Linked DNA regions of Danio rerio. The protein of the gene in region 1 purifies or fractionates together with the protein of each later gene. This does not show direct contact. Links are inferred from orthologs where the notes say so. Each region holds a gene or a part of one and is shown on either strand. Other genes may lie near its edges.

Region 1 (4,176 bases):
GTGGTCGCACAAGATTGTGCATTTAATTGCACGCACATGATTTTCTCTGGCAGATTTTTAATGTGGTTGAAATTTGGAGTTATACACTGATTTGAAAACCTTTGAGGAGACTGAAGCGCTGAGTTAATTTGTTTCAAATGTAGTGTGAAATAATAGATTTGGGGGGCCACATGGGCAAAACACATGCAGACTTCCCTCAGAATTCCTTTCACTGTGTGATGGCAGAAGATTTTTCATTTTTCATAAAAGCCTTTTCTCTACAAGTTGACATGTTGCTCCAGTTTTCGGGCATAATACAAATTAAGTCAATAGAAATACAAAGGAGTCAAAATCGTGAAAAGTGCGCCATCGTGCGGTCAAACAAATAACTGCGTGTTTTATTTTAGAGCCAATTGGAAAAGATGCATGCAAACAAAAAGTCTAAATAAGTATCATAATTTGCATTTGTAAATGCATGTCACAAACAAAAATGGCACAATAAGTATGGTAACAGTGCAATCTGCAAAAGTATTTTCAGCGGCAATCTGTGTGTGAATTGTTTGGAAAAGCTGTAATTGTTTTTGAATTTCACATACACATATAAAACTTTTAGGATAGAGTGTGGAGCATTATTTAAAAGCAATAATACACCACAACATAGCATAACATACTTCACTGACACCTTTACCGGTGGTATTTCAGATCGCAATTTCTCTTGCTCTTCAATCTATGAACTCTGAAGAAAAGGATTTGCATTATAGCTTTGTTCAGTCTATTCTTTAAGTAATTACAGTAATGTGATTGTACAAGTCCAACTAGTTCCACGTGTGACCTCGTGAACCGCCCTTAGATTGATCAATAGATATATGCTAAGTAAGGTGCGACTCATGAACAAATAGTTCGTTTGAACTGATTCAATCCAACCGATTGTTAACATGATGGACAATGCTAACATTAATATAATTAACACTAATTCTTAAATTGAATTATTTGACGCTACATATCATATCCAATGAAAAAGTAAACATAAATAACGCGTAAACAAAACAAAAATATCCGTGAATCATTTGATCGGTTCTCTTCAAAAGAGTCGATTCTGTAAAATGATTCCCAATGCTAACACGTTGACCATTTTAACAATTTTAACAGTGTTCTCGCTGTAATGCATTTCTACCACACACAAAATTCAATATTTGTCCCTGTTTAAATCATTTAAATAGTTATGGCTTGCTGGGAAGCTCTTTCTCTTCCTCCTTTCAATTCCCAAAAACTCGCCGAACCAGATTTCAAGAGACAGGTGCGTTTTTAACACGACAAAGGACGCTCAAACGAAAGAGGAAGACTGGTTATGATTATATCTCCATTAAAAATATCCACAACTTCATTCATTTCATGATCCACAATGGCGGTAAACCTGAGTAAAAACGGACCCGCGCTTACAGAAGCATATGATGAGGTGGTGAGCGGGAAAAAAGACTGGTAAGAAAACTCCATCACACATCAACACCTCGAAAATAAATCGACGAATGACATGTTTTTTTTTAAAGAATAAGTAATCATTATATTTACTTTACGTAATTAACTTTGCCATTTCAAGAGAATCTGGCATCCAACATTAAAAATACTATAGTAATTAGAGTAAATAGTGTTTTTGAAGCATATAGCAAAGCGTATTATTGTATACACTGTACACTCGATTTGCGTTGGGACAACATGAAAGAGTTAACTTATTAGTTTTTACAAATTTAAGTAGATTTAATGAAAAAATTAAGTTGTCCCAATTAAAAAAAAACTCAAAAATTGTGTTGTTTCAGCTCATTTTAAATAAGTCGTTTAAACAAATAGCAAACGTAATTTTTTTGAGTGTATAGTGTTTACAACACTTTTGTTAGTGAATGATAAAGCATAATGTAGTATTATTAACTATAGTGAACTATAATAAATACAGCAGTGCACTTTAGTTTTTACTACAGTAAACTGTGGTGTAGTATAATAACAATGTAGTATAATAACAATGTAGTTGCAGTAAAGTTGGGTTGTTTATATTAGTACTAATATAGTTGATGTACTACTGCAACAATAGAATTCAAAATACTCTAGTGTTTACTTTAGTATTTTTTCATTTATTTTCAAAACAATATTCAAATTTGTTTTATGAGCTATTACATATAACCTGTGCAAAAAAAAAACAGAATGGCTGGTTACTTCTTGGCGAGTATTTTACATTTATAATAGCCTATTCTGTTAATAATCTTGCATGAAATGTAATTTTTTTTTTAAACAGGGTGTTGTTCACCTATGAAGGAAACAGTAATGACATTCGGGTTGCAGGGAAGGGAGGTGAGTGTTTTCTTCAGATGAGATGAGAGTGCCAATAGACTGACGTCATGCTTTTTTTTTTTTTTTTGTCTTATTGATGAGTCAGCAGTCCACAGTTTCATATGCTGGTTTGTGTTTCTCTCATTTTTTTTAGATGGTGGGCTTGAAGAAATGGTGGACGAACTGAACAGTGGTAAAGTCATGTATGCCTTCTGTAGAGTGCTGGACCCCAGCTCTGGAGTGCCCAAATTTGTGCTCATCAACTGGGTATGAACAGAAAAATATTCAGAGCTGGATGTACAAATAAAAAATGCTTCATGAATGAATAGTTCACTCAAATATTACATTTACATTTAGTCATTTAGCAGACGCTTTTATCCAAAGCGACTTACAAATGAGGACAAGGAAGCAATTTACACAACTAAGAGCAACAATGAATAAGTGCTGTAGGCAAGTTTCAGGTCTGTAAAGTCTAAATGTCAGACATTAATGTCTAAATGTCAGACATTAAGTCATAATGTCAGACATTAACAAGAATTATTCATAATATTTATTAAATTACCCAGTCAATTGTATTTTATTAATGTCTACCTCAACCCCAACCCTTACAGTAATGTAAAAACAGTAATTATCCAGAGAATTATTCATATTATTTATTAAAATGCGGATGGGCCCACGCGGATTGCAATATGCACTGGTCATTCATTCATTCAGTTTCTTGTCGGCTTAGTCCCTTTATTAATCCGGGGTCGCCACAGCGGAATGAACCGCCAACTTATCCAGCAAGTTTTTACGCAGCGGATGCCCTTCCAGCCGCAACCCATCTCTGGGAAAACATCCACACACAAACACTCATACACTACGGACAATTTAGCCTACCCAATTCGCCTGTACCACATGTCTTTGGTCTGTGGGGGAAACCGGAGCACCCGGAGGAAACCCACGCGAAGGCAGGGAGAACATGCAAACTCCACACAGAAACGCCAACTGAGCTGAGGTTCGAACCAACGAACTTCTTGCTGTGAGGCGACAGCACTACCTACTGCGCCACTGCCTCGCCAGCACTGGTCACTACTAACTAAACGGAGTAGGACCACACAGTTATGTTTTGTTAACATGTTGAGGTTATATGTTGCATGTAAAATGTACGTTTCAAAACTGCACAAATTTTGTCAATCCGCCTATGCACACAATCAAATTCAAAATCACCCGATCTGGCAACACTGACAACAAAGAAGACTTTCTCCAGAAGATAAAATATTATAGGAAATACTGTGAAAAATGTCTTGCTCTGTTAAACATCATTTGGGAAATACTTGAAAACAAAATTCACAGGAGGGCGAATACTTTTTACTTTAAAAAAATGCAGCAACACCGAAAGCTTTAAAATGTATTCACAGCTTCATTGATATGAATCCTCTTTTGGTTTTAGACCGGCGAGGGAGTCAAGGACCTCAGAAAGGGTGTTTGCGCTAGACATGTTCACTCAATGGCCAATTTTCTGAGAGTGAGTTTAAAATACAAGTCATTCTCTTATTTGTCGCATTATGTCATGCAAATAAACACCATCATAACTTTAATCTGTTATGTGTTGAATTAAAGGGTGCACACGTGACCATTAACGCTCGATCAGATGATGACGTGGAACCTGCGGCCATCATGGAGAAAGTGGCCAAAGGCTCCGGCGTAAACTACAACATCCACAGAGAATCAAGCCAGAACAATCATTCTGAGCCTCCTGGACGTGTGGTGAGGGATTTCAATCATAATCATAACTCATATTAAAGATTATGGAAGTCTAGTCCTACTATGGAAATTGTGAAAAAAATTAAAAGGTAATAGGTGGTTCATTCCGCTGTGGTGACCCCTGATAAATTA
Region 2 (3,658 bases), on another chromosome or scaffold:
TTCTCTCTCACTATTCTGCTATTAAGCATAACAAAAACAAATTTGATACACCTAACTTTCCTAAAAGAGAAAAAGTTTAATCACATTAACATCTGACTTTTTTATGGTTATGTGCCTTTTTATACAGTGTATGTAAACTTTTGGTCTCAGCTGTATGTGCACAGATTGAATGTGATGGTTAATGCTAACCTGTTACATACTGAATCCCTTGCTCTTTTTTTTTCTTCCAGATGGTTACTTTAATGAGGATGCCAAGTATAACCTGTGTTACTGTGAGTCCTGTCATAAATTAAGGGGTGATGAGGCCTATTACAAGCGAGGAGAGCCCCCCAGAGACTATGCTCTACCGTTCGGCTGGTGCCGCTTTGCACTCCAGTCAGTTACTTTTAAGTTGCTTCTGTATTTAAGCTGTTAGAATGTGAAGATGATTTATTAGTGGTATTTAATGCCTTATCAAGTGGTCTTGTCTTTATTTAATCAGGATCAAGACCCACTGTGAAGTCTCCAATGCCTTCAAGAAGTGGCACATTGCGTATCACGGCACAAGTGTCGGTTCTCTTAGACGCACCCTGGACCACAACCAACTGTTATCAGGTTAGCAGTTACTGGAAAATAATTCTGAATTTATTCATTAACAATTATTGGGTATTGTTTGAAACCATTAAACACTTCTGTTCATCAATGACTAATTATAAGTGATAGTAATATAATTTATATTGTTTGTATGAAACGTAATTGTCACGCAAATATTAATCTGTTTTCAACACTACTGATAATGTAAAACAATAATATATTAAACAATTACATTAAACATTGAAGAATGGAGTAATTATGCTGTCAGTCCTTTTACAGCAATAAATTACATATTAATAGATGTTAAAATGAAAAACAGTTATTTTTATATAATGTAATGTATAACATTATTTTTCAAACCAAATGTATAGTTATAATATACATTTGGTATATATATTTATATATTAAATATATTTATATAATATATTTATTTTAATATTTCACAATACTACTGTTCATACTGTATTTTTGATCAAATAAATCAAGATTGGGTGGTGTGATTGTAAGAGATTTTGTGTAGATTCTTATAATTAAGATGTTATTGTGTTATTTAATAATATTTTTCATAAATAAGTGAAATATATATAATATATACATAATATTCAGTTGAATTCAGAATTATTAGTGCCCCTTAGAAATCTTAATTTTTAAAAAAATATTTCCTAAATTATGTTTAACAGAGCAAGGAAATTTTCACAGTATGTCTGATAATATTTTTTCTACGGAGAAAGTCTTTTTTGTTTTATTTCTACTAGAATAAAAGCCGTTTTTAATTTTTTAAACACCATTTTAGACAAAATTATTAGCCCCCTTAAGCTAATTATTTTTTCGATAGTCTAATTAACCTAGTTAAGCCTTTAAATGTCACTTTAAGCTGCATAGAAGTGTCTTGAAAAATATGTAGTCAGATATTATTTACTGTCATCATGGAAAAGATCAAATAAATCAGTTATTAGAAATGAGTTATTAAAACTATTATGTTTAGAAATGTGTTGAAAAAAATCTCTCCGTTAAACAGAAATTGGGGAAAAAATAAACGTGACTAATAATTCAACTCCTTTTCAATTGTAGGCTTATTATTTTTTTTATCCAGTTCATCTCTAACATTGAAAAGGCTAAATATCTGCTTCTGAAATGCATGAATGTGTGAATTAAAATCAGCTTCTCTATTTCTCATCAGCAGAATCATCCTCTATTTTCTCGTCATCGTCGGTGAAGACGGAGGGTCATGGCAGCTACGGAGAGCCGGAGGAGAACAGCGCTCCAGAGAGAGACATTCCCAGAGTGCAGCTCTCACCAACCATGCGATATTCCGGCCTCGAGGTCTTCGCTCCGAAAGTGCAGTAAGTCCACAGTTTGCAGACTTCCTGAGGACATTTAAACAGGACATTAAAATTATAGCAGCTTTTGGATGCTATAATGAATAAAAGATTTACGACAGTTGGTTCAAAAGAAATGAAATTGTTGTGTAGCATAATGTGTTTATCAAATCAAATTCGGAGATTCTATTATGTTGTCTGTTGCTCTGTGTTTTCAGATCTTTTTTGTTGTTTGTTTAGGGGTAAAAATAAGCAGCGGTGTACTGTTAGTGAACATCCTGATCAAACAATTTATGCATTCAATTACTTAAGGGGCATATTTTGCCCAAAAATGAAAATTTACTCACCCAAAAGTGGTTCTCTCAAGATTTTCTTTCTTTTTTTGAACACAAAAGAAAATATTTTGAAGAAAGCTGAAATTTTAGCGAAAAAAACATGATATGCTATAATATTACACTGTGCTGTGACTGTTATTTAGTTACCTACAGTAGTTGCTTTTTTTAGCATTACACTAAAATAGTAAACTATTTTCAGATGATGCGTAACAACATTGCACCTTCTGTAGCCCTGGTACAGCAGCAGAGTTCCTTGATTATTATGCCAGATTGAATAAAAATGTACAAATGTCTGTTTAAACAAAAAAATTATAATAATAATAATTATAATAAAATTATTAAAACAAAAGAAGCCAGAACTCAAATAAAAAAAATAAAAATTGAAAATAAAAAATTCAGAGTTTATGTAGAAAAAATTGAAGAGGTCCCCAAAGCGTCCAGAATTTGTTCTGTTTGTGGTTGAGATCATAGGTTAATTTTTCCAAAGGAAGAAAGACTGACAACTGAGAAATCCACATGGAAATAGTTGGAATTTGAGAAGTAGACTATTTTAGTAATATACATTTCTTAGCCAAAAATGTAAGAGTTGTAAACAGGTTTGATCTCTGAGTCAAAAAGGTTTTCAGGAATGTCATTCAACAAAAAAAAGTGAGGGGGAGAAAGAAAACGTTTTCCAATTATCTCCTGGATTGCAGAATGAACCCCCCTCCAAAATGGTTTGATGTGAACACGGGACCAAAATACATGAAAAATGTGCCCTTACACGTTATTGCACTTCAACAAGAACAAGCTGGGAACATGTTATGCAGATGAACAGGTGTAAAATAAATTCTGTGGAAAAACTTGACATTTTGTTCATGTATTGAAATTGAGGTACATTTTGGAAAAGTGCAATCACAAATCTTAGACTAATCTTCAGGATTAAACAGAACTCTTAGGATTCAGAGTAAACCTAAAAGGCATAGAACTGAGAAATAAGCCCTATAAAAAGCTTAGTTTTAATATCTCAATAGAAGCTTTGAATATAAATATTACAAGACAATATGACGTCTTATATGAGAACGGTCAGAATGACCACTATGGTAATTCTAGTAGTTACAGAATTCCACTGTTAAATAGGAAAATTATCAAAGCCTTTTTTTTTTAGCTAGATGCCAACGGTCTAATCTGATTCAATGATTTATGCTATGCTAAGCTAAAAGTGTTAGTAAGAGACCCAGAGATCGGCTGAATGGATTCAAAAATGGTAATGCTTAGCTGTTCAACTCTGGTGGATGTTTTCAGGGTAAATAAGCCTATTTCCAAAAAATGAAAATCAGTGTTTTAGGGCTGCACAATATTGGAAAAAGTCTAGCATTGTTGATATTTTATATTCTGCTAAATATATTTCGATATGAATACAATTTCACTAGATCATTTGAATGACTATTT

What was found. Proteins that work in one complex are often made in the same cells at the same time.
Region 2: the proteins of dbnla (region 1) and neurl4 purify together in Homo sapiens (co-immunoprecipitation; 4 studies listed by BioGRID and IntAct, counting the BioPlex papers as one, with this or other methods). This does not show direct contact. The link is inferred for Danio rerio from reciprocal best matches to the Homo sapiens genes DBNL and NEURL4.

What each region holds. Positions count from the first base shown.
Region 1 is NC_133185.1:47,603,876-47,608,051, forward strand, and holds the start of dbnla (drebrin-like a), read left to right. Parts: upstream 1-1,321; 5' UTR 1,322-1,381; coding exon 1,382-1,458; intron 1,459-2,263; coding exon 2,264-2,319; intron 2,320-2,452; coding exon 2,453-2,565; intron 2,566-3,730; coding exon 3,731-3,805; intron 3,806-3,900; coding exon 3,901-4,047; intron 4,048-4,176. UniProt on the Homo sapiens protein: Adapter protein that binds F-actin and DNM1, and thereby plays a role in receptor-mediated endocytosis.
Region 2 is NC_133187.1:24,192,658-24,196,315, reverse strand, and holds part of neurl4 (neuralized-like protein 4), read left to right. Parts: intron 1-230; coding exon 231-375; intron 376-481; coding exon 482-594; intron 595-1,753; coding exon 1,754-1,916; intron 1,917-3,658. UniProt on the Homo sapiens protein: Promotes CCP110 ubiquitination and proteasome-dependent degradation. By counteracting accumulation of CP110, maintains normal centriolar homeostasis and preventing formation of ectopic microtubular organizing centers.